Drosophila melanogaster: one gene and its partners. The protein of the gene in region 1 interacts with the protein of each later gene in a pairwise test. Each region holds a gene or a part of one and is shown on either strand. Other genes may lie near its edges.

Region 1 (6,505 bases):
ACGGGTTTCCCTAGGGGGATGCTTCTTCCTTCTGGGACTTAACTCACAATAAAGTCACGCAGTTGCGGCAAATAAACTTGGCGCACTCGCCGCAGGAGTAGCCACACTCCTCGCAGAGATCCATCACGCAGTTGACGCATATGTCGTGGATGAGTGTTGGGAGCTGGCAGCAGCGCGATTTCAGGGGCGGATTCGACAAGTCGATGGAATGGTTGCGCAGAATGATGGAACCATCGCCCAGCAGATAGTACTGCTCGCATAGGGCGGGCTCCTCCTGGCCTGGCCCCAATGGATTCAGGGTATTCTGGCCCTGACCGTGCCCATTGCCGGTTGCGCCATCGAAAAGCATTTTGATTGTCTTCTCTGCAAAATAAATAGCAAAACGGAGATTTCCAGTTCAGGGTTAGACACCTCAAGGACGCCGCTCTTCCATCAGCTTCGATGGAACGTGACATATAACAGCAAAAAAAAAAGAATATTTACTTGATTTGTTTGAGGTCAGCGAGAAGTGCAATCAGAACCCTTAAAATTTCCAAATTGCAATGACAGTAAAATAGTGAGACCGATCGCGGGAAACAAGCTGACTTGACCCTATTCAAAATGCCAAAATCAGTAAATCACAAAATCGATTAGTTTCCAATCGATTCTTACTTGCAATTGCGAATTTCTGAACACTGTAGCAGTTTATTGCCAATCTCTTCGTGGGGTTATCCTCGTAAATTTGTGGTCGCTGCTTTGCTCCATTTTTTGTTCTCGTGTTTAACGGTTTAAACTGAACTCATCTTTGCATTGAGCAACAACAAGCCCGACATAACTGCACTCTGAGCGGCGCTGTCTCTCCGATCTCCCACCCGCTCCATTACAGGAAGGAGAGTAGGTGAGTTGGTGCAAGTGGGACAATGCTTTCCATACCAAGGACCCTCTTCATCTTTCGTGGTCTGCGGGGGTCGGCCATTTCTGTTCAAGATTGTCTGCCCATGGTCTCAGCTCTGAGCTACTCCAGGATGCCCTGCGGTCCAGCACCAAGCTTCTATTCGAATGCTTGGCGCGTTGAATTTCGCAAGGATAATAAGGATCGGACTAAGATTCGACGCTCTCAGGGGCCTGAAAAGCTGTAAGAAGAGTACAATTCGCAAACTGTTCGTCCTTTTGTGGGGCTGCATCTGACCTTAAAAACTCCATGCCTAGACGAACTAGGGATAGATGAATGCTTCCGACATATCTGATCATTGTCTTTAAGACTAACGAGGATTTCCTACTGCTCCTGCGCCGTCTTTCCTCACAAGAGGAGCAAATGGCACGCCCTGCGTCGCAAACGCAGCACACGGCGCTCCAGAATGTGCTAACTCTTTTGGCTCTTTGCCAAATGCTCGTTGAGCAGCGTGAAGGGAGCGGTGAGTCTTCCCCAGTACCTTATTCTCCTTCCCTAGTTAATAATGTTCTCTTTAGATCCTTAATGACCATTTCAACCGGAACCCAAAGACTTGGCATATTCTGGTCATGCCCTATGACTCCTAGAGGCCCAGCGCAATCTGGCCGGGAATCGTACGGTCCCTCTCACAGGAGAGTCCCTGGATTGCCTTCTTGGCAGCATGTTGGATGTAGACATCAAGTACTTGATCAGCCACGGCGGCAGTTGGCAGCTATTTGTGGATCTGTATAATGCACTCACAGACAACCTGATTGTGCTGTTAAAAGAACACAGTAACCTGATGTCAGACCGAGCAGCCCAGCCCAGTCTCCTGTGCCAGGATCTCATCCAGGCTATCGGCCGGAAAGAAAGCAGTTACAGGACATAAGTGAAACGGAGCTGGTTGGTAATACATTTGACATTGTGTCGTCCCAAATTTGTACTGCTTCAGAACTTAAAATTTAACAAGCACCGCGACTTTATAAGTGCTGGATTGTGTAAAGCCTTAGCTGAAGAACATCTGGCAGTGCTCGCACAGGGGATCCTTCTCTTCTTCAACTCGATTACCACTGGAAATAAGATGATGGTCGATTGATTTTCAAATAAAAGGTGTTCCCAAGGGGGATGCTTCTTTTAAGGACTTAACTCACAATAAAGTCACGCAGCTGCGGCAAATGAACCTGGAGCACTCGCCGCAGGAGTAGCCACACTCCTCGCAGAGATCCATCACGCAGTTGACGCATATGTCGTGGATGAGCGTTTGGCGCTGGCAGCAGCGCGATTTCACTCTCTCCAGGCGCGGATTGGACAAGTCGGTGCGAAGGTTGCGCAGAACGATGGAACCATCGCCAAGCAGATAGTACTGCTCGCATAGGGCGGGCTCCTCCTGGCCTTGTACCAATGGCTTCAGGGCATTCTGGCCCTGACCCTGCCTATTGCCGGCTGCGCCATCGAAAAGCATTTTGATTGTCTTCTCTGCGAAAGAAATAGAAAATCGGAGAGTTCCAGTTGAGTTAGACACTTAAAGGAGGGTTAGACACTCAGCTTCGATGGGACGTGCAAAAGAACAGCAAGAAAAAAATTAAAAAAAAAAATTTATGCGTAAATTCATCGTAAATTAGAGGTCGCTGCTTTGCTCAATTTTTTGTTCTCGCGTCTAACTGTTCAAACTGAAGTGAGCAACAAGTCCGGGATAACTGCGCTCTGAGCGGCGCTATCTCTCCAATCTCCCACCCCTCCATTACAGGATCGAAACAAGATAAGTTGGTGCGAATAAGGCAATTTACATACCATGGACCTCCTTCATCTTCCGAGGATCACGGGAGTCGCACATTTTCTGGTTCACAAATACCTTCCGCTGCGTGAGATTGTTGTTGGCGTCGCCATCCGCTGATCGCGATCGTTTTGCCGCCTTTTTACGGACCTGGTTTTCCATGATGAGATACTGGCAGATTGTTGGGCAGATCGGATAGGAACGTCTTGAAATATCAATTGAAAATCCTTTACTTTCAGGTTTCCTAACTTGCAGGCTAACAGTTAATCAGTGTCCCGTTTTGCTAACAATATTGCCTTATTAGAATAGTGCTACCATATTAAAAAATACATACAAAAGCGCCGACTGCGATCAATTTTTTTATCGTCTATCGATCGAATTTGCGGTTAGGCGGAAAATTCAAAATGTTTCTGGTTATGAGCTGTTTGGAATAGTCCAGCATTTTTAATTTATCAGATTAAAATGACTGAAAATATAAAATTTATTACATTTGTATAATATATATATATATATATATATATATATATTTGTATAACTATGGATTTGAATTGGATGCTTGTCTGCTCGCTCGTAGTTTTAGCTGAAACATTTATATAGCCAATTTTATTTAAAAAAAATTTTGTTTTAGGTAATTAAAATAAGAAAGGTAGAATTTTTTTATTTCAAAATACCCATAACCAACAACTATCGATATTTATTGACTATCGGCCAGGGTTGCCAGCCGTGCGGAATTTGTTCACTTTCCCGGAGTAGATTTTGGCCACCTTTTGTGTAAAGACACAAAGAAAACCATGCAATTAATGGACGCCGACTGCTGATGCGATCGGAATTAGAACCGCGAGCAAGCGGAGCTCACAGTGACCGTAACATCCAGATCACAGATACTCGGAAGGATCGTAAAGGACACGGAAAATGGTGAGGCGGGGGGCTCCGGGCCAAACGCACTATTTTGCCAGTGATTCAGAGTGATTCCACCTAACCGGGAATTGGTTTCCACCCACCCACTGTCTGTGCAGCACGCCGCATCTTTGACGACGGTGGAGGGACTGCTGCAGGAGTTTTATCAGCCCAGCACCTCCAATGCCCGGAAACGAGAGATCGAGACAAACCTCTTGGCCTTCAAGTCCCAGCCAGAGGCGTGGCAACTTTGCCTCCGTGTGGCCACCTCTTCCGACACCACGGAGAATCAGTTCCTCTGGTTCTTCAGCACCTCAACCTTGGAGCACACAATCACGCGGAGATGGACACAGTTGACGTCCACGGACAAGACTTTGCTGCGGGAGACCCTTTGGAACTCGTATGCCCAACTGGTAGCCACTCCAAATGTGGCCAAACGGCACAGGGACACACTGGCCCAGTTGATAGCCCTACTCGGAAAGAGGGAGTTCCCTGAACAGGACCCCAATTACATGCAACACTGCATGGAACTGACAAAAACACGGTTTCAACTTGGCATCAACCTGCTTAAGATCACCTCCGAGGAGGTGGTAAGCAACAGGGGCGACCTGACCACCGAATGGAAGCAGTACTTCTACTCCTGGTGGGTAAATAGAGCGAAGAGGCTAAAATCGTATGTTTTTTAAAAAAGGTTTTGTAGTCCCATACTTTTAATGTCTGTTTAAGACTACTTGGATTTTTAACTGAGTACGGCGTATCAGATGGTCGATGTTTTCGAGCATAGCGTATTTTTATTATTAACTTTGGTGTTATTTGTTTAAATACACGATTGCGTCGCACAACATAGAATAACACAATCCCAGACCTTGTCAGTCCGTTCTTGTTTTTGGTTTATTAATAAGTGTTATATTGAGATTGAGTATGTATATGGCATAACAACTAAAGTCAGCTGACCTCTTAAAACTCAACTAATTGAACCGTTAACCCAGTTATCATATTATATTGCTTTGTTGAGAGAAAGCACTATAATTACTGGTCAGTTGCCACAGCACTGTTCCTAACCCATTTTGTGCTCCCTTTTGCCGTGTGTTTCTGTAGCATCTCCATGTGTGTACCCGATGTTCTGGACCTGGTAACCAAGTATCTGCTAATCGCTGTATGCCACATCAATGGCAAAGACATCCAAACAACCATACCAAACACCCTCATGGACTTTAGTCTAACCTCAGCGCTGCCAAATGACAATCAATTAAGGTGGGTCATCATAACATTCAAAAGAGCATATGTTCATTACAACATTTTGTTATAACATCTCTCTATATACTCCGCAGTTCCTCAATTTTGGACCTGCTAGGATGTGTGCAGCACTTGGTCTCCTGGATACGCACTGAACTGATCTCGGAGTACTTCCTTATGAGCATACTTGACCTTTCCCAGTGGCGACCAGCCCATGAGCCCATCTCCTTGGCGGCTCTCTCTGTGTTGAATGAGCTCCTCTACCTCCAGAAGCCACTGCCCTTCCCAGGACCCTTGATGGGCGGCGTTACCAGCCTCCTGGAGCAGCACAATAACAATCGGCGGCAGAGCGAGATGTACAGCGACAAGTTTCGGGAGCTGCTGCGCCTCTACACCACCAAGTATGCCGCCAAGCTGATGCAGGAGCCAGACCTGCTGGAGACCTTTCTCAATCTGCTATACAGCTGCACCACTGAATGTGAGTCGCGTGATAAAAATATTGCCTTTTGAGATGCTAACTTATTTTTTATTTTGAGATGATCTTTTTGCTGTGTAGTCATAAAACACTCGCAATATTAAATGGGTTATGTGCATCTCGTGATCGAGATTTCGAAATGTCGTTGACAAAGATATATAACAAAAGTTATTAATTTTGTATTCCCCAAACAGTACACGGCGCCTTGGACTTCACCGAAAAGCTTGAGATCTGGACACCCATCATCAAAGGCATTGCCCAGCACCCCGCCAAAATCACGCGTTATAACAATGTGCTTACCCAGCTAGTAGATGAGATTATGAGGCGCACTCAGTTTGAGGCCAACAAACCCGAGCTAGAAGTGCTGGACAACGAGCTCATGGAGGACGATGTAAGTAGCTCTGATTTAAAGTGTTTTTAGGTGACAAATTTCAAAAACCAAGAAATAGACCTTGCATTAGAACGATCTTCATTTTATCTAGACATTCATCCAATTTCAGACCTCCGCCACTGAGTGGCAGCAGTTTCTAGACCAATGCTTCGAGTCCCTGGCCCTACTGGCCAACACCAGAGGTGCACACATCGTTTTCGCACAGGTCTATAACCACTGGTCACGGCCACAGATGTATTTACTGTCCTTGGAGCACGCATTGGACCACGGAAGCGCTCGAAGCTACGAAGCGGCACGTAAACTGAAGGGCGCCAATGTGGGCGAGATTTTGCGCGACTTTGCCACCGTCTGCCAGGCGGTCGTGCGTTTGGCCCCATTGATGGACTCATCAACAGCAGCACCCGGGGTTGCTGATGAGATGGAGTGCCAGCTGCAGATGCTGTCCGACAGTTTGCTGCAGACTCTACAGCTCCTCGCAAGCAATCGTTTGTATAGCGGCGGCAGCGAAATGGACAAAGCTACTTTCCAGACTGATTTGGACAACCTGTAAGTGGGGCATCCCTTTGCATGATGTATGTGATACTATGCTTTCTTGATCCTTCAGATACGCTCAAGTTCTACTGGCCATGAGGAGCATCTTTCCGCTAACGAAAGCCATGAGCGGCGAGGAACTGCTGCACCGCCTGTTTGCTATCCTGGGCAGCATTTTCGCATGCAATGGATCCTTAACGGCTGCCTCCCCCATTGTGCAGCAGGCGGCAAGCGAGCTGCTGCTTTTCATATCGACTGTGATACGGCCCAAGTGCCTGCTGGATATACCAC
Region 2 (7,100 bases), on another chromosome or scaffold:
CATGCAAATCCTACTTGTGCAACGCATTCTGGCTGGGCACGGCGTCGTGGAAGAGGTCACCTCCCAGCAGAATCATGTCCACATCCTCGGACACCGCCAGTTCCAGGATCTCCTCGAAGGCCGTGAAACTGTCCTCGCCGCGCACCGCGTCTTTTTCGCCATAGCCCAGGTGGTTGTCGGTAGCCACCAGGATGCGAATCACGTTGTCAGCATCCTGCTCTGCTGTCGTGGTGCCATTCATGGTTAACTGGGCAACTTAAAAATTCACAAAATAAGATATTACGCCCTATTTCGCCATCACATAGACCGCGGATGTATCGATTAAATATCGATTCTTCATTAAGCGATAAGTAAAGTTATCGCTTATTGTTATCTATCAGTAACTAAAAATGCGCGGGAGATTTAAGTATTTAAATTCAACAAACAAATTTGACGACATGAAATATAAACTTTAACGATTCATTTTAATATCCAAATATATATCATTGAAATTGCAATTTAAAAATTTCTAGTTTCACTTTATTTGGCTATTTATAAGTAGTTTATGAGTTTTTGTAAAAATCTCTGCTGCAATACGCAGGCTGTTTTAAAAATATATAGCTTAGTTACCAATAAAAGATCATGTTTGTAGCCTAATTACCCAGGCAGCAACTTCACATTAATGCTTATTGATGAGAGTGAGCCTTTGTCCGCCTTTCCGATCACAGCCGTTTGATCGCTCAGTATAGTTCAGTAGTTTTGGTTTCTTATTCAGTCCAGATATGGAAATATCACTTCGTGGATGACATCCCTTCGCGTGTGCCAGGCAAGATGATGAACATGGGGTTTGACCACAATGATAAGCTTGCCGGCCTCCTGAAGCGTCCTGATGCCAATGGAGTCGCTGGTGAAAATCGGTCGCCTAATAAATGGAATCACATCCATATTCTCGTCAAAGTAACCAAAGTGGCTGAGGAAATATATACGATTTGTGGTTATTTCACCTTTGATAATATCCGACTAAGTAAACCATACCTCGATTGCCACGGAGTAATCACATCGTCGTTGGGTCCGCCGATCATTACCAACTTATTTAGACGCACCATTCCCATCTTAAAAGATGTGGAGTTGGAGGTCTTCTTCTCATTATTGATCAGTGGCAGGAATTCGCTGTACTTCAGGTAGAGATCCTGCCTCTGCGGATCGTTCCAGTAGCCACCAACCGAGGTGTGCTGTCCCACGCGCGAGTAGAACAATTCGAAGGCTGTCTTGGCCGCCAAGTCGGGAAAGATTAGATGCAAGAAGCTAGCTGAAAATATTACCAAAAAATAAAAACTTGAACCATTGTGATCCCCCTTTGTTTTATAACCCAACTGCGTAATTTTTGAACACAGTTACATAATATATTTGTTTCTTGTAAGCTTTAAAAGAGTTTAGCCCGGAAAAATGTGACGCAGTTATGCATCTATATAAATAGAATTTACTCATTGGTTTAAACTTTGATCTCACTTACTGCCGTATTGCCCCGCCTGTGGCGAGGATAGAGATATAAAGGTCTTCACATTGTGCTCGGGCAGACTTTGGATGGCCGCCCGGGCCAAAAGGCCTCCTTGTGAGTATCCTGAAAAAGGCATAGTATTGGTAACTAAAAGAAAATACTCTAATGAAAATCGGCTGCCTTACCCAGCACAATGATGCCCTCTGGATGCAGTTTGCCCACCTCGTTGAGATAATCCCTAACCTGATCGACCTGTCGCCAGGCGTTCTCCAAGCTGTACCATCCATTGAACTTGTCGCAGTTGTAGACGATAGTGCCAGGATGAAACTACAAACGGACGAAATGAGTTTATCAGTGCTACTGCGTTGTTTGCGTCAAATTCGACCTTGCCACTGTAAACAATAACAAAGGGGAATCGAAAAACAAACCTCTTCGATTTCCCGGACCAGAGAGGCCATCGATTCGGCTCCTGATAGAATTCCATGGAGTATGACCACCGGTTTGTAGGCCAGTGAGACGGAAATGGACGAGCAGGTTAACAGGGCCACCAGGACTTGCAAACGAAGTCTCATTTTGTGGGGAACAATGGATTTCCGACTGTTGTTGTTGATGTATCCGTATCTTTATTAGCCGCTCTTCTTCTTGCTACCCGCTTTGGAAATTCTGAAAGTGCGGATTTGAAATCCGACATGCGAATGGCAATGTATGGGTTGCGAGCGCAATTATGAGCAGAACGAAATTTGAAAATGCATTCGAAATTTCTCGAGACTTCATTGTACAATAATTGGATGAATTTAAAATACGTGGTGTGCATTTAAAAGGAAAGGTTTATAAAATAGGTCCCATAAATTGGATGGGTACATTCAAATAAAGATAAAATGCAATATAATTTAGCGGACCATTAGAAACACAATTGAGTTTGCATTGGGTGCTTTAAAAATATAATTATATATATGCTTTTATAATACAGTCTGATCAAAATAAAAGTATGAAGTACAAATTACAGCAATGAGATTGTAGAAGCCATTGCAAATAACTAAATTTCTACGCTCCTTGGGCTTTCCTAACTCCAATAAAATCCCAGAGATCGCCGAATCTTAAAATAATGCTCGTTTATTCACTCTCAACTTACACGATCGTCGTTATGTACTTTGCACTATTGTGTCTTGCGTAAATTTAAGTCTAGGCGGCGCATATACGCTCCGCAATTAATATCTACGCTCTGTGGCTGGCGATCCACAGACTCGTCCTCCACATCGCACAATTCATTTGTCATCCGGGGCCCGGAACAAGGTGATTTCAGGGTATATCAAATATGACAACACTTAACAGTTTAGACTTAGGGCTAGGGCGGCATCTCAACCTTTTTGCTTAAGAGTTCTCGATCTGGATTTGTAGCGGTTCTGTTCCAAGTTACGTGATTCGTTCTGCGGCCGGAGATCTAGTAGAAGAAGTCCAGCCCGTTCCGAGGGCTCGAACCTCACCCGGCCACCTCCTCGCTGACAAAATCCAGCTTGACCACCTCTGCGGGCAGGCACTCCTCCACGTCCACCTCGTTCTCCTGGACATTGATGCGATTGAGGGTCATGGACACGTCTGGTCCGCACTTTAAGCCTGCTGGCGCCCCTGCTGGCGATCCTACTGTCGCCGCTGCCGCTGGAGGATTGGAGGTGCTAACCACATCGTCGGCAATCACCACCGTGGGCGAGAGTACTGTTGGAACAGTGGACACTGCCGACACAACGGGCACCACGATCTGCGTCGACGAGCAGGTGGACACCATATGTGGCTGCTGCACCACTGTCGCCGTAGTCGAAGTGGGCTGCTGGATAATGATGTTCTCCGTGATGGTGGGCGTGTTGTTGGCCGTCGAGGCTGCAGCCTGGGCTGCCGCTAATGCCGCAGCCTTCTGCATCTGCTGGTACTGCTTAACAGTCACCGTCGTGCCCGTCGTAGTTGTATTAGACTGTGGATGCAGGATGATCTGCTTTGGCTGCGCCACCAGCTGTACGTGCTGCACGATTGGCTGTGACTTGAATACTTGAGGAGGTGGCTGCTGAAGGGGCTGCTGCGGCTGCTGTTGTGGCAGCGTCTGGAGAACGTGTTGCACCTGCTGGACGGGCACTTGCTTGGCGGGAATGCCGGCGTCCTCGAAGGCCTTCTTCTTCAGCGCCTGGCGGATCTGAGAACTGCAATGGGGAAGGTCAATTAAAACTAGCACGTACACACTGGGCAGCCGGTTCCCTCGCCAGGAGCACAGGATCACTTACACGGTGCGGTTCTTGATGCTTAGGCTGATCTTGGTCAGGTCGTCGGAGAAGCGCATTATGGACGAGTGCAGCATGTCGATCTCCTCGTCCGTCCACTTCCTGCAGCCGTGGCGAGGGAACAAGGCACACAGAAACACTCCGATTAGTGTCCACAAAACTCGCGACTCCACCGCATAGAATCAACTTACCCCGATGGCGACTCCGCATTGGGATGCAGCTGCATGGTTAGATCGCCCAGTCTGCTGAACGCCTGTCCGGCGGCCGTGAATATCTCCCCCACCTGCAAGTGCATGCGGATTTGCATCCGGAGTCAGTTTGTTGTTACCGCGTGCAAATTCAAAACAAACGCACCGCCCCTGCCCACCGCCCGCCGGCCCACTCACGGTGGAACAACAAATTTCCCACTCGCAGGAGTGAGACAAACGAATGACTCTCGACTCTCTCCCGCGCCGCCTTTTTCTCGCTTGCAACGCGCGGAGGCGCTGGCGACGGGATCAACGCGGTCGGAGCTGCCGGCGGATGTGGTGGAGCGGCTGAACCTACCTTGATTGCCGAGTTCATGGCCTTTTTTCGCGGGGCGCTGTTTTTTTGTCGTAATTTTACGTAGTTTTGCGTCCGCAGCTATTCAACACTGACGCCGTACACAACACTCAAGCGGCCGTCAATTTTCCAATGCACAACACTAGAATATGTATTTGCGCTACTATCGACTTATCGATTGGTGCAATCGGGAATTCAAACAAGAAGCGTTATGCTTATTTAGATTTACATTTAAGTAATTTATGTCTTTTATTATTAGAACCAGCAACTTATGCGAATCTGATTTTAACATTAAGAAAATGTAAATAGTTTATTCAATGCTATACATATGAACCAAATATTATTACACATGATGAAGGAAACATTTCTTAATTAACAATATTTAACTATTTATCGAATTTAACTATTAAACAAAAACCAGCATAATACAGATTTAAATTTAAATACTACGATCACGATTGTTTTTGTAATTTTTGTATTGATAGTATTTGACAAATACTTAGGGCGTAAATATAAATAGAAAACTTTATGATGTGGAATTCCACCGTTTGCAAGATAACACCTAACAAAAGAAATCCCTAATACTTGGATAACATTAATCATCTTTTTTATCATCGTTGAACTCAACGTTTTGCCTCCAGTCCGAACTCAGTCTTTGTTTGCAGCTCCGCTGCTCGCAGTGGCAATTGCCACCTGCAATATTAGTTAAAACCACATAAAGTTTAGACGATTTCGCGGCCAAGCAAACCTTAACTTACCTAAAGGAACGGTCGTAGTTCCGCCGTCACGTAAGTCGTTTCAGCAAAACTGCTTACGGTTCTCATCGTAGGCCGTCATCCGTCGATTCTTCCGCTCCGCAGTCTCTAGGCTGCTGGATTTCTTTACGAGAGAAATAAAAAAAATATTACATGCTTGAAATTTAGAAGATCATACGTACCTTTGGCACACATTCAGCGGAATTGCAGTCCAGGGGCTTCTTTGTTGCTGGAACAGCTGCAGGAGTCGGCGATCCATTCGAGGAATTCAACTCAATGGACACATCGCCTCCGTTCACTTTTTGCGTGTGTAAAGCCGGCAGTTCGCGCTTTAGCTTAGCCAGGAGCTCGGTGACTGTGCACAACTTCTCCTCAAGATTACGCTTGTCTTCTAACAGGCTAGAGATGGTGCCGTCCATGCGTTCCTTCTCCGATCGAAAGTTGATTTCCCTGGTTTTCTAGGCGATTTAAAGAGAAAACATTAAGCTATTTTATAAGAGCCTTTGATTGCAATTATTCTACCAGAGTTGATCGTAGTTCTTCGTACTCCCTCGTACGTTTATCAACCTTCTGTTCCATCTCGAGGCTTCTTTTATTGGCCGCTTCTATGGCTAAACTTTGCTTAATCCATGCCTTTCGCAGTGATGTAAAGGCGGTTTCATTGGATTTCAACTGGGCGTCAAGTAGTGCGTTTTTCCCATTCTTCTCATTAATAACAGTCAGCCTTTCCTCTAACTCTTGTTTATTCTGTTGCAGTATAAGTTCCTTTGATTCCTAAATAAATATTTCATTAGCGACCGAATAACCTACAAAGACAAGTCTAATATTACCAATGTTGAACGGAGCTTTTCGCAATCCTCTTTGAGCGCCTTGTTACCCGAACTCAACTTTTCCTCCATCTTGCGGTTTTCCTCCTTTAGATTAGAAATTGTTTCATCCAACAGTTGCTTTTGCGTTTGGAAATATTCTTCTTTGGATTGCTGAAAAATTTTAATTACCTATATTGTAATCAACCAGATAGATTACCAGATTAATTATTACCAGATCGGAACGTAAGCTCTTGCACTCTTTTGTGAGATCGTGAAGATTCTTCTTCATTTCGAGATTTAAATTATTTGCTGCTGTTATGTCTGATAGATAATTTTTCGAGGTTTCTAGCAATTGCTCATTATGCAACCGAAGATCGGATATAGTCAAGTTCAAAGTTTCCCTTTCTTTTAGGAAATCATTAGTTTGAGCTTCCTGGTATAGAATAAAATATAATAGAATACAAAAGTGAAGGCGTTAAATAAATAAAACTTACCAGATCGGATCGTATATTTTCGCAATCCTTGGTCACTTCGCCAAGCTCCTTGGATCGGCGATCGATTTCTACTTTCTTGGCTCGAAGCTGCTCTTCGAGATCGAGTTTGGTTTGTTCCAGTTTGTCAAAATCTTCTCGTAGAGAGGAATTGAGCTTTCGCTCCTTATCCACCATGTTCTGTAGTTCCTGAGCATCTTTTAGCTTTCTTTTAAGCTCTTCATTTCTAGACTCTAGATGGTCTCTTACTTCTTGCAGAGATTTTAGTTTAATCTGAAGCTCGTCTACTGAACCCTTAATATCAGCAATCTTTTGTTTAAACTGACCTTCCTGGGCAGACATATTTTCCTGTACTGCTTTAAGACTATTTTCCAGGCCTACTTTTGCTTCTCTCACTGTTTTATTTTCATCAATGGCGTCCTTGAGCTCAGAGCGAAGCTGTTTAATCTCTGAATCTCGGCCGGAAATTCCTTCTTGTAAAGCAAGCTGTTCAGCATGCAAACGCTCCACTTTCTTCTGCAGATTTTCCGACAACTTATTTGAATCCGAAAGACAGCCTTTTAGCCGCTCGTACTCGCACACCAGCTTATCGTAGGCATGAAGCCTGAGCTGGGCACAGTGCAGAGCTTCTTTGATATCTGCCTCCTTGGACTTGAAAGTCTCCAGCTTTTCTGCAATTTCACACCTCTCCAACTCCTTTTGAGTGGTTAGTGTAATCATTTCCGCTTCGATTTCCTCAAGTTTTTTTATGGTATTCG
Region 3 (8,086 bases), about 12 Mb from region 1:
TACATTTTTAATTGTTTTAAAACTGCCGACCTCTGCTTAAACATAATGACCCACAGTGAAGGAACCACAATTGAAGTTGAAATTTTTCAATGATTATATTCTGATGGGCGCTGCTGTATCTAATCAGCGGCGGCGACTTTGCTACTTCACGTGTTTTAACGGTTAACAGCGGCCATGCACTCCAGCTAGCCATCTCGCTCGCACTTGCCGCCACTGCAGCTGCACGGAGCACGCAATGTCTAAATTACGAGAGAGTGGGAGTGGGAGAGGGAGATGCACTCCGCCCAAACACCCACCACCCTACCCCTCTTCACACCATCAAACCGAAGGCACGAACAGAATTCCTGGCGAACGCATTGGAATGGTCAGTCAGTAAATGCATACACACGAACTAGATACACACACACACTTAGCCGGCAACACGAAGCGCTGAATGAAACGAAACAAGGAAGAGGGGGAGGGTGGTAGGTGGGCAAATGAGCGGCGGTGTGGAGTGGGGGTGGCGCGCGCACGTTGCCGTTCCATTTTATCAGTTTGTACATACTAAAATATACATACATATAGCAACATACAATTTGTACAATTTTTCCTCTGTACACCCAGAAAATGTTTGTTATATTTTTAGTATATACACAGACGCAATAAATATGTACCCGAGTTGGTTTTTTTCCTGTTTTTTTGGTAATGAAACGAATACACACAGGAAGGAAGAAGCAGAAGCGTAACGTAAATACAAAACAACAAACGAAATTGGCACAGTGGGCGTTAGGTGGGAAATTCCAGAAATATGATTGGAATTATTTTCTGTCAAGTTCTTATTGCCTTTTGTCTGGAAGAAAGCAATTATTCCTATTGGCATTTGTTTTTAAAGATTTGAGCAAAGTCAAATTATGTTAACCACGTTATATGATTCAAAAACAAGCCAAGGGATAGAAATAATGGAATCTTAAGATAATAGTTCTTTTTCTTATTAAGTTAAGCTTTGTTTGCCCCACTGTTTGATGACGGCATCGGTATGAGCGAAAAAGTTTTTTTTTCATCTTGTCTTTAGTGTCTCTTTTTGTTGTTGTCACTGCAGCTCGTTCCGTAATTCGTATACCAACTAAAATTTATCTACACCCAGGTTCGACTGTGTGCGTATGTGTGTGTGTGTGCAACTTGTTATCGCATAGCGTAAAACGGAGAAACAGCAGAAGAAGCAGCAGCGAAAACCAAAACAAGTTTAATGACGTTTTGCGCGCGCAGACAAGAAAGAAAAAACACAAAAAACAAAAGGTACACACACCAACACCAGCGCACGAAACCAGTTTGGAAAGAAGAGAAAAGCGACAGAAGACGGAGGGAGAAAGAGATAGAGAGCGAGAACATTACAACGTCAGCGTCGACGATTTTTGCACGTCTCTGTTTATATTACATTCTGCGGCCCTTTTTTCGTGTGCTTTTTGCGCTTTTTTTTCTCGCCGTTTTTTGTTATTGCCATTGCGACTGTTACGTACGTGCATGTAAACGAACACGTAGTTGTGTGCGCGTGTGTGTCTGCGCGGTACATGCACATGTATATTCCCTATATGTATATTGGCATGTGCGCATGCCTTTTAATGGCAAGGGTTAGCAGCCCCTTTTTTCCACAGAGGGTTGCAAAATGCGTTTATACGCTTCTTTTTCTGTTTGAATGTACATGCATGCATGTGCACGTATGCGTGTATGTGTGAGTTATACATACGCATTGGGTGGCGATAAGGACGCGCTGATAAGCAAATGAGTTATCTAATCTCCAACACAACGCTCCTTATCATCCATGCAAACGTAAATGTGTACGTGCATATACATGAGAAGCGCAGTCTTCTTCTAGCTCGCCTTCCAGTAAGGAGAGATAAGGAGCAGGCAATCACGCCGTTTCACTCTGCCCTGAATAAGCGGTATGTGTGCCACTATATCGCCGCCTCTCTTCCTCCCACTCCCCCACCACGACCTTCCACCCACATCCAGGCTAGAGCGAGGCAGAAACAGTGCTCTGTATCCCGCGATCACGGCTCATATTAAAAAAAAAAAGGCGGGGGATTGGTAAGAAACGGTAAACAAATACAGTGGCCGCCAACTTTTTCAAACTTAGGATTTAAGCAAATTTCCTATGTTTCCGGAGGATAAAATAGTGTTTAATTTTATCCAGCAAATCTTAGATTGAAATTAGCAAAAAAAAATTTCCTCTAACTCACTTGTTTGTTTAAACAAGTTTTTATTTTTGTTTGACATTGGCTATCAAAGCAAACTGAAATATCACCCCTCGAAGAGTTTTGTATTTGAAATATTTTGATAAAATATACTTTAGAAGATATCAAGTGTTCACTGTGGCTGGGAAACAACATCCCCCTGGTCACTCCATTTTTTAATCCATATCGCGTATTTCCCACTGGCGATTCGATCCGATCGCTATAAGTGATAAGAAATCCATCACTGATAGGGGATTATCCCAAATCTGTTTTCCACCACGATAGATAGTGTTTTGTACTATCATTTATAAAGCCAAATATTTATCAACGCGGCACTTTTGAGACTCTGATCACTTTACTCTAATTATTATGAAAGGTAGTTTTCAAGGTAGTTGAAACTACTCCTGCTTTTCCCGAATCCCTACTGCAAATGAAAAATTTTCCCATTACTTGCTGCAGCAAAGTTCTTTCTATTGGGTAACCACTGTGCCAAGTATTTTGAATGATCTATGTCATGTTTGCTCACCTGCTTTGAAGGTCGATGCATCGAAACTGGGCGCTCTGACCGGCTGCTGCTTATCACGGAGTCCGCTAAGCTGACGCTCGGGCACATAGCTGACCGCCGCTGGCAGGGATTCGCCACGCGTCAATGGCGGTCTGCCGCCCACGCCACTTGGATCGTCCATGGCGCTGCGCTTGATGCCGGGCGGACAACCGCCGGATACGCCTCCGCCGGCGGATAGGGAGTTGCCAGCACTGCCATCTGGCGCCAGGCCGTGTCCCGACTGCTGTTGCTGCTGGCTTACATCCACATCGACATCCTCGCTGGGCGGACGCTTTAAATTCACGGATAGGGCGGGCGGTAGGCTGCCACCGCCACTGCCGGCGGTGGGTACGCCGCCGCCGGGTGCACCGCCACCGCCGCGGGTCGCATTTGGCGGCAGGTGGTGGGGCGTCATGTGTGAAATGCGTACGGGTCGTACGCCGCCACCGGGGGCATCCTCCAGCTTAACGGGATAGTCCAGTGGCGGACCGATGCGTGGCACTGGCATTTGATAGGGCATCTGATGGTGATGATGCACTGCAGCAGCGGCGGCGGCAGCAGCAACGGCATTGCCCAGCGAACTGAGCGAACCGGCGCCCGACGGACCTGGACCACCACTTCCGGGCGGAGCACCCGGTGGACCGCCGCCACCTCCGCCGCGATGGGAACCCGGTCCTTGTCCCGGAACTGGACCGACTTGTAACTGTTGTTGCTGCTGTAGGACGACGGCGGCCGCTGCAGCGGCGGACACTTCGCCGTTCTCATGGGAACGCTGCTGTTTGCTGGCGGGATGGAGACGCTTCATTTGGCGGGCGGCGTCCAGCACCGCCTCGATGCGATCGGCGCCCTCATAGTTGACGCAACCGCGGCACACCGCCTCCGAGAAGTCATTGATCATCGCCCAGGGCATGCGGGGTAAATCGCACAGATAGCAGTGCTGCCTTTTCGTTTGCAGCGACATCCTGCTGCGTTTCTGGAAACTGTCAACTGGCAACTAGCAACTGTCAACTGTCAATTGGCAACTGTCAATTGGAAGCCCTGGATGGGCTGGATCTGGAAATGGGTTTGTGCTGTTTTAGCTCACTGGAATGGCTAACTGTTCCTTCCTGCTGGATTCCCAATTCCTATTATTTATTATTTTCTCCTTTTTTTTCGCTTTCTTTTTTCTTGTTTCAGCTTCTTTTCGGTTGTGCGTTGTAGCTATTTTTCTTATTTAGCATTTGTTATTCATGTTTTCGTATTGATTTTCGCACACACGCACATATACACGCGCGCACGCACGCATATTTCACCGCGCTTCCACCCGAAAAAAATTCACTTATGTTTTTTCCTTCAGCTTCAGCTTCTTCTTCTTCTTCTTTTCTATTGTGCTGCGCCGCGCTGCTCGCCAACACGCACGCACACAGGCACACACACCACACACCACACTTAGGCACGCGCGCCGCAGAGTGAAAGAGAGAGGGTGCGCGCGAGTAAGCGGGACACGTAAATGTACGACGACGCCAAAAACGTGTAGGAACAAAACGAACGATGAGATCGCAGCGACGCAACGAATGACTGAAAAAGCGACCGGACGCCACACAGCTTGCTGATAGAGTGTGGCCTTGGCTGGTATGTGAGAATATACCCCAGGGGCCAAGCGAAATGTACTAAAAAATCTTCGCTGCCGCAATGGGAAATACCAAGAAAATACCTGAAATACTGGCTTATATCAGAGACACGAACCTTTCAGTGGACTTCAACCAGGGTTGCCAAAGTGGCTGAGACTGTAGCGAAGACTTCAACCATGATAAAGCTAAGGAAATTTTAAATTTTCTTTAAAATTTAGCATCATTTTGAGCATAGTAATTCTACTATTTCGTATTAATATATATAGCTTTTAATATATTGCTCCTAATATTACGCCCAAATATTAAAAATAAACCCTTTTGGCTGTTTAAGTAATTAAAAATAATATTTATTTTTATTTTTAACCCCCTTTGGGGCTACGACCCTGCCAGCGTACGTGCCTGCACGTCATATTCACGAAACGGAATCTAGTGACGAAGTCCTTCCCCCAAAGTCCGCCTGTAAGTATACCATGTAAAGTTCGTGGATACACATCCGTTTTTCGTATAGATACCGAACGTATGTACATAGGATACAGTTATGTAGACCTTGAATCTGGTATGCTCCGTCTCTTTCGCTCGGCGAACAGCTGACTTAACAGAGCTCTGTAACTGTTAATGAAATTAAAAGCCCTCATTCCTAGCAAAAAAAAAAAAAAAAACAAGGACATCCGTAAAGCACTGCGCAGGACCACAAACTGCAAGCATGTATGTGTATGCATATCGTTGCATATATGTACATATGTATAGGCGAAAATGCTTGGGTGTTCGTATTCCTGGCGTTTGGCCTGAATCGATTTCCCGACCATGGTCTGGGACAAATTCCGTATCTGTGCGTACATCCTGTTAAAAGGAAATGCGGAAAAAGGAGCCACCAGATACAGAAACACACGAACAAGCAACGACCTCGTAAACGGGGTCCTTTCCTTACACCCCCACCTTTCCATACAGTCCCGGCCATAAGTTTATGTCCGTGCACGCGCAACTGTACTCGCTTCTTAACATTTCATTTGAGATTTTATTTATGAAATGTTTGGCTCAATTAAAGATATAAAAATATTCTTTAAATTGCCACAAAATTAAAATTCCACAATAAAGACACTAGAAAGTTTAAAAGTTTTTTTTTAATTTCCTCTTTTATTAACAAAAAATGTTTTAAGATTAAAATCAAAAGAGAATCTACGAACTACGTTTATACACAAGCTTTATTTGTAATTACAGACCTTTCGACTCCCGAATAAGTAGGCAACAAAAACTGCATTAGTTATAAACTTATTTACAAGTGGGTAGAAAATGTTGCTATACTGATTATATATGTTCAACTGTTAAAAGGCATAAAGAATTGAATCGAAAATTCTATAAGCGTTACTCAATTTTCGAAAAGCAGGCGTATAAACGTAGTTACAAGGTGGTGTGGGGTCAAAATACAACACATTAAATTAGCTGCATATAAAAAATATCGCACATATTTGTTGTATATAGATAGTTAAATGCTAGATCGGTTCGGCGCGGCCACTGTTCTACTGGCATACGTCCGTATAACAAGGGCCCGACTCAAATGTCTTATGTAAGCAGTTAATTGCAAGCGTTTCGATCCTATATGTATATAGGTTTAGGTATATAATGGCTATATAAAGTACACAGTATAACAGTATTAGGCTTGAGCGTGTGCGTTTCATTTGTATAACAGTTAGCGTGTGTGTGTGTTTGTATGTCTGTTCGTATCAATTACAACTAAAATTGCCTTTGAGCAAAAACATTCTTATATATTTAGTTATAGGAGTTAGACTTATTCTCGTCAATACAAAAAAGTTTGTTTCTTAGCATTGTTAATTATTGTTCTTGGAATGAGGGGACGGGGTGAATGGGTCGAGAATCGATAAATAATAAATTAGATTTAAGCACTAACATGGAATACGTTTATCTATATAATTATGGAATAGATATACAAATACATTTATATACGCTGTTTATCAAAAAATATTTAAACCACAATTTTTCTAGTTAAAGTTCTTTTCGTTCCTTTTGTCTTTTTTTTGCGGGTGGGATCTCCCTCTCTCGAGGATTCTTCAGATTCGTTCGTTTTTCGCATCAACATCATGGCACAAGTTTCTTCCTTCTCTCTTTATCCGTCTTTCGCTATCTCTTTCGCAATATAACTTTATGTCAGACAATAGTGGGTTAAACAAGTATTTGCTTAGCTTTGCTTCTAGTTCAGTTTTTTTTTTTAGGTTAGTCGAGACAGTTGTTACCCTGTAATCTTACATACTATAATTATTCGCTTGGTTTATACAATCCGTGTAAATATTGCAACTTATTGGTTTTTCATTCCTATCAGGCACTTAACCTTCGTTCAGTTGAAACTTAAAATCAAATGTTGGAATCAAAAAAAAAATAAACACTTTCGTCGGAATGTTGATCTTGTTATGTGCGTATAACAGTTGCGTTTATAACAGCGGCACAGTTCACTGGTTCTTAATGTTACATTACACTTTAAAAGTCATTATGTATTTAAAAAAAAAAGTGCCTCTACATGTCGTGGAAATTTAATTCCGTACGATACAAATGGCGAATGGTTGGTTATAGAAGTTACAACAGTTATATCCTTCAAAGATTTACGCTAATTACGACAGTTTGTTTGTAGAACATTAAGCTGCTTACAACAGCTTCCTGAGTGGAACCACAACAAACTGCGCACAACACTTGACAATCGTTAATAGAGAGTATGGCTACTTCGTCTAGCTAGCAGCGCGTATTGAAATGCGTGCGAACTGGCGGCGATGGAGCTGCTCGCCTCCTCCGTTCACCGACCGCCGAATTCGGTGTGCCGGAGGATCCGATGGTCCGATGACCATTTAAGCTTCCAGCCGCTGTTCCTGCCGCACAACCGGCTCCTCCGACGGACGAGGCCGTCGCTGCGGCCTCCTCGCGCATTTTCTGCTTCTGATCGGTGAGTCGAGCGCCCAGGCGATGCACCTTTTCCGGACTCAGGATATTCAGGCGCGTCGTCTTCGAGGATTGTTGCTGATGCTGCTGCTGGTGAGTGGCGGCCGCTGCAGGTGCAAAGTGTGTGTAAGTCTTGATTTGTATAAAATTGTTGGTTATGCGCTTACCATTTGTCAGTCGCTGCGCCGTGGCGGCTGTGTGCCTCTGGGCCAGATGCTTGGTGGGTGATCCGGGCCTGCTGCTCCTCGTCGGCGAGACGCAATTGCTTGCGGGAATGCCTTGACTGCCCGTGCGACTTGGCAGTGGCTTCAGTGTCTTCCCTTTGTTATTGCACATTGGCAGGCGATGATTGCTGCTCGTTCGCTGCTGTTGGGCCGACGGAAGTGGCAAAGTTAGCTTGTGCTTCTTCGGCAGCCAGTCTGATGCGGATGGTGGACAACTACTATTGGTATTGGTCGTTGTGGTCACATTTCCATTGCTATTTAATGCGACACTTATGTTAAGGCTAGGCGGCAGGAAAAGTGGCGGATTGCTGCTCTGGCCGCCTTTGGTCGTTGCTGTGGCTTTGCTGCGTTTGGGTGCTGGTGTGGCCAGCTGTTTGGCAACTCCGCTGGAGGCCAGGTCCTCTAGGGACTCAGCATGCTGTAGTTTTTGCCCGACGATTGCCACTGGCGGATTCTTTCGACCGAAAATGGGCGTCTGATTGATGCGCTGCGTACGTGGTGGTGGCGGTGGGCAATTGTTGCCACCATTCAGGGCTGCAGCCTCGTGCTCCAGGC
Region 4 (8,474 bases), on another chromosome or scaffold:
GTGGTAACTGACGAAACGGACGTCAATCGCGCCGAGGACGCCAGAGTCTTCAGCGTGCACCCAGTCTTTCGGGCCCGTCGATGCGTCGGTGAGTCATCCTTTGCATACGTATGCAATTTACAATATATTTCCTATCTATCTATCAATGGATCCATTTAATACTCAGTTGGCAGTAGTGGCACCAGCAGCGTCAGCTCGAATTGCTGCAATCTGTTTATCGACGAGCTTGGTCGGGTCTACCAAAACTGGGAGATGTATGTGACCACCAACGAGTTGCCTGCCGGAGTGATGGTGGCCCCAGAGAAGGGTATTTACCGCTTGGTCAGGGATCAAGTACGTCTGGATAAGTACACAACGCCGGCGGGCACGACCAACAGGAAGGTGCTGGGCTACCTGGATACTGGGTCGGCAGTCGGAGGATTTTTTGCTGCCTGTGTGCCCATTGCTGCCCTGCTAACGCTGCCCGTATCCGCTCCGCTGATGGGCGCAGCGGGAGTAGTAGGTTTGGCCAGTGCTGGATACGCCGCATCGCGGTCTGGCAGCAAGCTATTCGATCGCAGCCAACATGAGCAGTCTATCAATGTGACGGACCGCGAAGCGCGTGGTCACTGGTTGGGCGTGGCTGGTGGCACTGTGGGATTGGCAGCGGCTGGGGCCACCACAGTCTTGACAACGGCCACAAATGCTGGACGCGAGGTGGGAGCGGTGAGTCCTTAAACCCCCCCCCCCACGCAATCAACAATGGAATAAAAATGTTAAATATGTACTCACATAGATCACCCAACTGACTGTGAATAGCATGAACATATCCTCGATTGTGGTATCGGGCACTGGAGTTGCCAATGGTGTGCTGGATCTGATATTGGCAAGTCTCGAAACTTAGACTGTGATTAGATTAGGCTAGATAGATTAAACTTATGAAATTTATGATCTTCCACAGAAAGCAAAAGACGGTGACGAAATAGTTGCGATGGATGTTTTGCAATTGTCCGCTTCGTTGGTGCTGCTCACGCACAGCGTCTACAACTTTAAATTGGCTTCGACCATAATTAATGAGACAAGCAATGCTAATATTGCCGACTATCGTAAAAACCTTTCTAATAGGCAGCGGTAAAAAACGTTCAATGAGATACATTCTGTCGTAAACAAGAGTTTCTACTTGTATTTTTTTTACCATCAGGCGAACCTTTGACAAGGCTGCCAAGGAGACCGTTCGGATGCAAGGCAACACTCGCGGCAAACTGGACATTATACGCAACGTAAACGAAATTTCGCCACAAGAGTTTAATGATCTTTTTAAGATCAACAAAAACTTGAATCAGGAGGGCGTGCGATACTCATTCGCACCCGATGGCAAAGGATTTTTACTAAATGGCGATGTGCAGACGACGGGTGCGGAATTGCGAGCTAGTGTACAACATAACCAAGGAGGGAATGTCCTAGGCAAAGTTAGTCAGCCCATTCCCGGTAGCCATGCGGGTTCTGGTCGCCTTCAACTGGGCGGCGTTAATCAGGTTTCCCGTCTAATCGGACCGCTGCCCACATCCCATCCTCGACAGGAACCCAGTACCTATGCCGCCGGCGTGTTCGCCTTGGAGCTAAGCTCTGTGTTGGTGGGCGGTGTTGTTTTCGTACTGGAGAAATACGGAAAAATCATATTTGAGCACGTGATCAATGCTGAAAGTTTTGAGAGCCTAATCAACATCATGGCCAATAAGCTTGATCCAAAAGTCTTTGACCATATAATGCTATTGACCAGAGCCTTCATGGACACCATGCTGGAAGACCTCACCTCGGTGCTAAAGTTCTTTATATCAACGGAATCCGTTCTTTACCGCATTTTGTTGTACATTTTACGGAACTTCGAGGACGTGCAACTTTCGGTTATTGCGGATCACACTTGTGAGATCGTAGAAGCCGTAAGGGTGTACTTCATGTCCCTGAATCCAAATGCGTTCCCGGGTCTCCTTCAGAAGTGTCCGAAATGTATCGGCCACTTCAGCGTTTGTCCCTTGTAAGTGTTTAACGAAATGGTTCGTTTAACATTAGAATTCAAGGGCCATCAGCATGTCATAATTGATGCCCAATTGTTTAACCACAAAGAAACGTTAGCTAGTTCCGCAAATAATCAATGGGATAACTTACTTAATATGAGCACAAATTGACAAAGATGAAATTGTTTTAGCATTTAAATAAAGATTTTATTAACCCTGTTGAAATAATTGTAATAAAAGGAGAATTTTGAACCGGAATGGTTCTGATTTCCGGTTTTCGAACACAGAATATGTGAATCATTCATTGTGTAAAGGGGATTTTTTTTAATCTTTAAGAGTAATTCCTAAATTTACAATCTGATGTCATCTATACTATGGTATAATAGCAACAGCCATACCACCAAATCATTGAATGCCTTAGAATATAAGTCATAAATTCAAGTATCCCATAAGAACAACCCCAATTCTGGTGACAATAACAAATCCAGCCTGCCCTAATGTAACCATTAACATCTGCTGCCGAATCCGTTATTCCCACCAAAGGGTCAAAACCGCTAACGCAGCTCAAGTTCTCGGCTGATCAGTACCCATGAGCGATCCATCCACTCAAGAGGGCACCCAATCCAACAGACATAAACATCCGCAGGGGCTTTCGCGACATCAAAACCGCTTACGCAGCCCAAATCCTTGGCTTATCCAGTATCCAAAAGAATACAGATTATATTTTTTATCTAATAAATTACCGTGGATTCGTTATTATATATTTTCTGTTATCAAGAATTAAAGATAGTTTATATAGAGATGACAAGATACGAAACCAATCGAACTATCGATAGCTGGCGGTACTGATGCTACATGTCGCCATCTTTTATTAGAAATGGGCAGCTGTTTCATGTGGACGCAAATTAAATTGTAGATTTAACAACAATAACGACAACCGGCGTCCCTTTCAACATATTTTTTATTGGCAACCAAGTGTCGGTAGGTGAATTGAATCAAGCGGGATTACAATTGGTCGTTGCGAGAAATCGATAAGCGCCCTCTTCGGGATCCCGGTCATCCGCTGTGGGTCGCCACCAAAACAAATCCAATTTGTCCATAGGAATGCCAAGGAGGACAAAAAAGGACGAGGACCCCGAGGATCTGCAGACCTTCCTCAACAATTTCCATAAGGAGATCGAAGGCAACAGCGATGAGAAGGTGGTAAACACGATTTTGGAGGCCATCAGCGCCGAGGCCATCGACTTGGATGAAAATGGTGCGGAGGCTGGTGGATCGAAACCGATGGAGGAGGCGGAGGCTGATTTGGATCATGCGGAGGAAGCGGAGGAGGAGGAGGAGGACGACGAGGATAAGTATTTCATAGATGACGAGGGCAACTGCTATATCAAGACTACGCCCAAGAAGCAAAAGGAGCTACAAAAGAAGCTCAAACAGGCGGCTGCCAAGCCGGGGAAAGCTACACGTTCCGTGGTCAGTACAGCCACCAATAAATGTGAGTTACCCTTTGCCATATATGTGCGTGCATTTGTATCACTTGCTCGACTCTTTTTAAGCCATCAATTTGCGGCCAGCCAAATCGACACCGAAAGCGACTACTTCGAAGCCTCCCCCAGAACCCAAGGCAATTAGCGTTCGACCAGCCCGAGCAGCTGCAGCCAAGGCGAAGCAATCGGCGATGCCACCGCCACCGGCATTAGTGGTCAAAGTACCGGCACCCAGGGGCAGGCCTAGAAAGAACCCTGTCATACCGAAGCCTGAACCCATGGACTTGGAGCGGGAGCTCGAGGAGCTGGTAGATGAGCCCGACATCAGTTCAATGGTGACAGAATTGTCGGACTATACCGTAGACGAAGCTGCCGTAGAGGCAGCAACAGCTACGCTGACGCCAAACGAGGCTGAGGTCTACGAATTTGAGGACAATGCGACGACAGAGGATGAGAATGCCGACAAGAAGGACGTAGACTTTGTGCTAAGCAACAAGGAGGTGAAGCTGAAGACAGCTTCTTCTACCAGCCAGAATTCGAATGCATCGGGACATAAGTACTCATGCCCACACTGCCCGTATACGGCGAGCAAGAAGTTTCTGATCACGCGCCACTCACGAAGTCATGACGTCGAGCCATCCTTCAAGTGCTCCATCTGCGAGAGGTCCTTTCGATCGAACGTGGGCCTGCAAAACCACATAAACACGCACATGGGCAATAAGCCGCACAAGTGCAAGCTCTGCGAAAGCGCCTTCACCACCAGCGGCGAGCTGGTCCGTCACACTCGCTACAAGCACACTAAGGAAAAACCGCACAAGTGCACGGAGTGCACATACGCCAGCGTGGAACTGACCAAACTGCGCCGCCACATGACCTGCCATACGGGCGAGAGACCATATCAATGTCCGCACTGCACCTACGCATCGCAGGACATGTTCAAGCTGAAGCGACACATGGTTATCCACACCGGCGAGAAGAAGTACCAATGCGACATCTGCAAGTCGCGATTTACGCAATCTAACTCACTAAAGGCCCACAAGCTCATCCACAGCGTGGTCGACAAGCCCGTCTTTCAGTGCAACTACTGCCCGACGACTTGCGGTCGGAAGGCTGACCTGCGCGTTCACATTAAACACATGCACACCTCTGATGTGCCAATGACATGCCGGCGCTGTGGCCAGCAGCTGCCCGATCGCTATCAATACAAGCTGCACGTTAAGTCACACGAGGGCGAAAAGTGTTACAGCTGCAAGCTGTGCAGCTACGCTTCGGTCACCCAACGCCATTTGGCCTCACACATGCTCATCCACCTGGACGAAAAGCCGTTCCATTGCGATCAGTGCCCGCAGGCCTTCCGGCAGCGTCAATTGCTGCGCCGCCATATGAATCTCGTGCACAACGAAGAGTATCAGCCACCAGAACCGCGCGAGAAACTGCACAAGTGTCCGAGTTGTCCGCGGGAGTTTACCCACAAGGGTAATCTAATGAGACACATGGAGACTCACGATGATTCGGCGAATGCTCGCGAAAAGCGGCGTCGCCTTAAATTGGGCCGCAATGTGCGGCTGCAGAAAGATGGCACTGTCATCACGTTGATCAAGGATCAGTATGTGGATATGGACCGGGACCAGGAGGAAAACGAAGAGGATGACAACCCAGAGAGCTATGACTTGGCTGAAATCGAGCCGGAGAACTCGGAGGCTGAAGACGCCGATGATGATGTGGAAACCATAGTCAGTGATCCGATCCGTCAGAGAATCAAGCCAGCACCTATCATTATCAACAAACAGGCCAGGCTTGCCGCCTCCGAAAAGCAGCCGATGATCATCAATCAACGCCTCCGAAGTCAACGGGGCACCAAGACGTTCCACATCAAGGAGGAGCCGGACAACTCGGACTTCACCGTGGAATGGCAAGGGGATGATGGCGAGGTAATGGTCGTAGAGCTGGTTAATGGCGACGAGGAGGTGTTGGTCAAGCACGAACCGAGCGCCAACTCCAAGATCAGTGCCAAAAACTGCTTTGGTTTCGAGGTTAGTTGCAAAAACTTTAGCTGGCATTTGTTCCATTACTCAAAAATTTGGTTTTCATGCAGGACGACGATGATTATGAGGAGTATGGCGATGGGGAAAACGAGGTCGATGGCGCTTCCCAGGAGTTTCTGCAGCTGATGGATATGATTGAGCAGGACTCTTAGTCTCCTGAAAACAAAAGCTAATGGATAAGTAATTATGACTAACTTATGTACATACCAAGCATACAATAACGTATTTCTACGTTACATTGTTTTCTATTTAAATACACATTTAAAACAGTTAGGAAACCTATTTTTACTAGGTTAAGAAATGGATATTAAAAATGTATTCTTTCTAAATGAATGTATAATTCTGGATAAGCAGTTAACATGCCGATATGGCGACTATTTGTAAATGATCCCCGACACTTAAACTTTAGTTGACAACTTGGCATAAATATTTATTTAAATACATTTACATATATTTCAATGTTTTCATTAGTAGTATATAGTATATGGGCAAAATGTTAGGTGCGTTTGCGTTTAGCTGCATCTGGGCGTGCACTGTAAATTCTCGGCTATTAGTTGTCGTTTCTACCGTAAAATGTTCGCATAGTTTATAGTTTTCCATTTCCACTTCAGCAATCTGGTTAATTTTCTTGTTATTTTTCCGGTTTCTCTTGCCGTTTATTTCTTTTTGTTTCTTTCATGTGTATAACTACAATAAAAATATATATATTTTTATATATAATATATGTATATATTTTTTAGGTGGTGCAATGTGCAAAAACCTGCCGTGCAGTGCATCATTATCATTATTTCAATATATATAGTTGCGTTCATTTGTGTTGATTTTATAGTGTCTGCATAAAACATTAACAATTTGTCGTTAATAGTACATATGTATGTATGTATACGAATCGCATTTGTATAACAATTAAAATGGAACAACGTCGATAAAGGAAGTGCACATTGAGTTCCGAGTGAGTTAGATTTGATAAAATGACACTTAGAAATTGAAAATTGCTTGCAGAATTGAGTTACGAATACGAAACACACTTAGAAATACAAGAGCTAAAAAATTGCATATTCTATAATTCAGTAATGCTCTGCGAGATTTGCTTGATCCCCACCCCCCCCCCCCTCTCCCATTCGTTGGGCGAAACTAAAACTGGGGAAACTAAACGAGCTAACTAACTACGTAACTTTGAAGCAAAACTAAATTAAAAGTATAAAGTAAAATGTAAAAGTAAAAAAACAAATTCTTGGAAAGCTGTAATATGGCTCTTTGCTAGCTCAACGATAAGCTTGGCTTATATCAATTTACTTTTGGCTTAACAATTTTCTGTAAGGCTGCTGTTGGTTTTGTTATCCATCCCATTTCATCCGATTCACTATCAAATCCAAATCCTATCCTCCTCCTATTTCCGTTCTCATCGCTCTGGTTTCGGTTGACAGTAAGGTAGGGGTTCTCTGTGGGCTTTTCGGTTTGGCAAAGGGTAACATAAATCTCAGAATATCTTCAGCTTCTGCAGGAAACGCAACAGGGGCGCACTGAGGCACGCAGGCGTCGGCTGGCTGCTGGCCTGCTGCTGTCCCGGATTGGCGGCAAAAGAGGCTCTGCCGTTCGCAATTCACGACTGCTCCCTCTTTTGCCTCTTTGGCTGCTAATTGCAATTGAGCGTGTTCTGGTTGGGGCTGCTGCGTGAGACGTTGTTGTGATTGATCTGGTTCGACTGCGTGATGCTGGCGCTATCGCTCGTCTTCCACGACAGCAGCTTGTTGAGCAGGCGGTCCATGTACGGATTGCTACCCAAACGAGCCACCTGTGTGGGTTGAGAGATTACTTTAGTTTAGCACAAAACACGTAGCAACGATGGGATGTGTGCGAATTTCTACTTTTAACATCATCAAGACTTCCAAGCAACTTCCACTTCCCATTGCTTGTCTTCAAGTACTAACCTCCGACCGAGCCTCTGCGTCGAGCGACTCCAGAACCTTGCGTGTATACTGAAAGCTGCCCAGCTTTTCCAACAAGGTGATGCAGTACTTCTTGACCTCAATGTCGTGCGTGCGCTGGCGTAATATGTCTGTGGATATAACCATAAGCCATCAGCTTAATGAGTGAAAAGCCTTTGGTTGAGGTCAAGACGTTGGACTTACGTAGAACCTGTTTATCCTGCTTTTGGGTGCGAACCGCATGGATTACCGGGAAGCCGAACTTGCCCTCCGTCAAGTCCTCGGCGAAGCTCTTGTTCTCCGTGTACTACATCGGAATGTTATCACAGATTAACAATGACTTATGCATATTGCCAACCAATCTATACACTCACCTCTTTCAGACTCAGATTGCAATAGTCGTCGCGTATCTGAAAGTACAGGCCCAATATAGCCGTCAACTTCGAATAGTCCTCCTTGTTGGAGCTGAACAGCTGCATAAGGCGAATGGCCAGCATAAAGAGGCCGCCAGTTTTGCGCACAGTCATCAGCTTGTAATCCGACTCGGATGGACACGTGAAGCTGTCGCGCCAATAGATCTCCATGCCCTGTCCACGGTGCAGCTCCAGCAATTGTTCGGTGTACACCTTGGTAGCCTGCAAGAAACGCGGATTACTTTGAGCTTCATAGTAGAGGTGGATTTGCGTACCTCCGGATGATCCAGCTGCTGCACCTTCTCCAGCGCCAGAAAGAGTGCATAGTTGGCCGCATTTATGGTGCTGGCCACGCCGTAGATGGAATGCGCCACGGGCACACCTCTGCGAAGGATCGAATTGTCTTCAATATCATCAATGCTGTAAGTTAGTATCAAGAACATACATGTATATAATTTGCCGTGAGTTAATTGTGTACTTGTATTCAAGCTTAATATACTTTCAAGCATTAGATACTACAATTTTACTACCTTACAATCAACTTAGCAAAGAAAGAATTCGAGCCAGTAATGTTTTGAAATTAGAATAAATGTGAAAATATGTTCTT

The links.
Region 2: the proteins of CG13373 (region 1) and Ppt2 interact in a two-hybrid assay, tested with the Drosophila melanogaster proteins (one large-scale study listed by BioGRID).
Region 3: the proteins of CG13373 (region 1) and Pits interact in a two-hybrid assay, tested with the Drosophila melanogaster proteins (one large-scale study listed by BioGRID).
Region 4: the proteins of CG13373 (region 1) and CTCF interact in a two-hybrid assay, tested with the Drosophila melanogaster proteins (one large-scale study listed by BioGRID).

Annotation. Positions count from the first base shown.
Region 1 is NC_004354.4:473,488-479,992, reverse strand, and holds CG13373 (uncharacterized protein), read right to left. Parts: upstream 3,010-6,505; 5' UTR 2,847-3,009; coding exon 2,702-2,846; exon of another isoform or gene 2,387-2,701; coding exon 2,062-2,386; exon of another isoform or gene 1,981-2,061; coding exon 1,917-1,980; 3' UTR 1,802-1,916; downstream 1-1,801. Other genes in the region: CG32817 (uncharacterized protein), read right to left, coding at 48-349; ebo (ellipsoid body open), read left to right, coding at 3,597-3,599, 3,701-4,224, 4,680-4,835, 4,913-5,295, 5,487-5,683, 5,793-6,229, 6,288-6,505.
Region 2 is NT_033779.5:11,275,321-11,282,420, reverse strand, and holds Ppt2 (Palmitoyl-protein thioesterase 2), read right to left. Parts: upstream 2,124-7,100; 5' UTR 2,050-2,123; coding exon 1,906-2,049; exon of another isoform or gene 1,844-1,905; intron 1,805-1,843; coding exon 1,663-1,804; intron 1,601-1,662; coding exon 1,493-1,600; intron 1,289-1,492; coding exon 1,015-1,288; intron 950-1,014; coding exon 751-949; 3' UTR 501-750; downstream 1-500. Other genes in the region: mre11 (meiotic recombination 11), read right to left, coding at 15-241; CG33695 (uncharacterized protein), read right to left, coding at 2,958-3,666, 3,748-3,846, 3,936-4,027, 4,291-4,308; cana (CENP-ana), read right to left, coding at 5,086-5,166, 5,225-5,500, 5,565-5,816, 5,873-6,022, 6,084-6,284, 6,346-7,100. UniProt on the Drosophila melanogaster protein: Catalyzes the cleavage of thioester bonds from S-palmitoyl-CoA or S-palmitoyl-N-acetylcysteamine (unbranched structures) but does not have activity against palmitoylcysteine or palmitoylated proteins, branched structures or bulky head groups.
Region 3 is NC_004354.4:12,578,836-12,586,921, forward strand, and holds the start of Pits (protein interacting with Ttk69 and Sin3A), read right to left. Parts: upstream 4,359-8,086; 5' UTR 3,716-4,358; coding exon 2,737-3,715; intron 1-2,736. Other genes in the region: LIMK1 (LIM domain kinase 1), read right to left, coding at 7,104-7,414, 7,475-8,086.
Region 4 is NT_037436.4:7,351,082-7,359,555, reverse strand, and holds CTCF (CTCF), read left to right. Parts: upstream 1-2,842; 5' UTR 2,843-2,975; exon of another isoform or gene 2,976-3,096; 5' UTR 3,097-3,098; coding exon 3,099-3,489; exon of another isoform or gene 3,490-3,550; coding exon 3,551-5,514; intron 5,515-5,576; coding exon 5,577-5,678; 3' UTR 5,679-5,978; downstream 5,979-8,474. Other genes in the region: pst (pastrel), read left to right, coding at 1-88, 167-705, 776-865, 941-1,110, 1,181-2,018; qm (quemao), read right to left, coding at 7,163-7,321, 7,458-7,585, 7,659-7,761, 7,829-8,089, 8,143-8,287.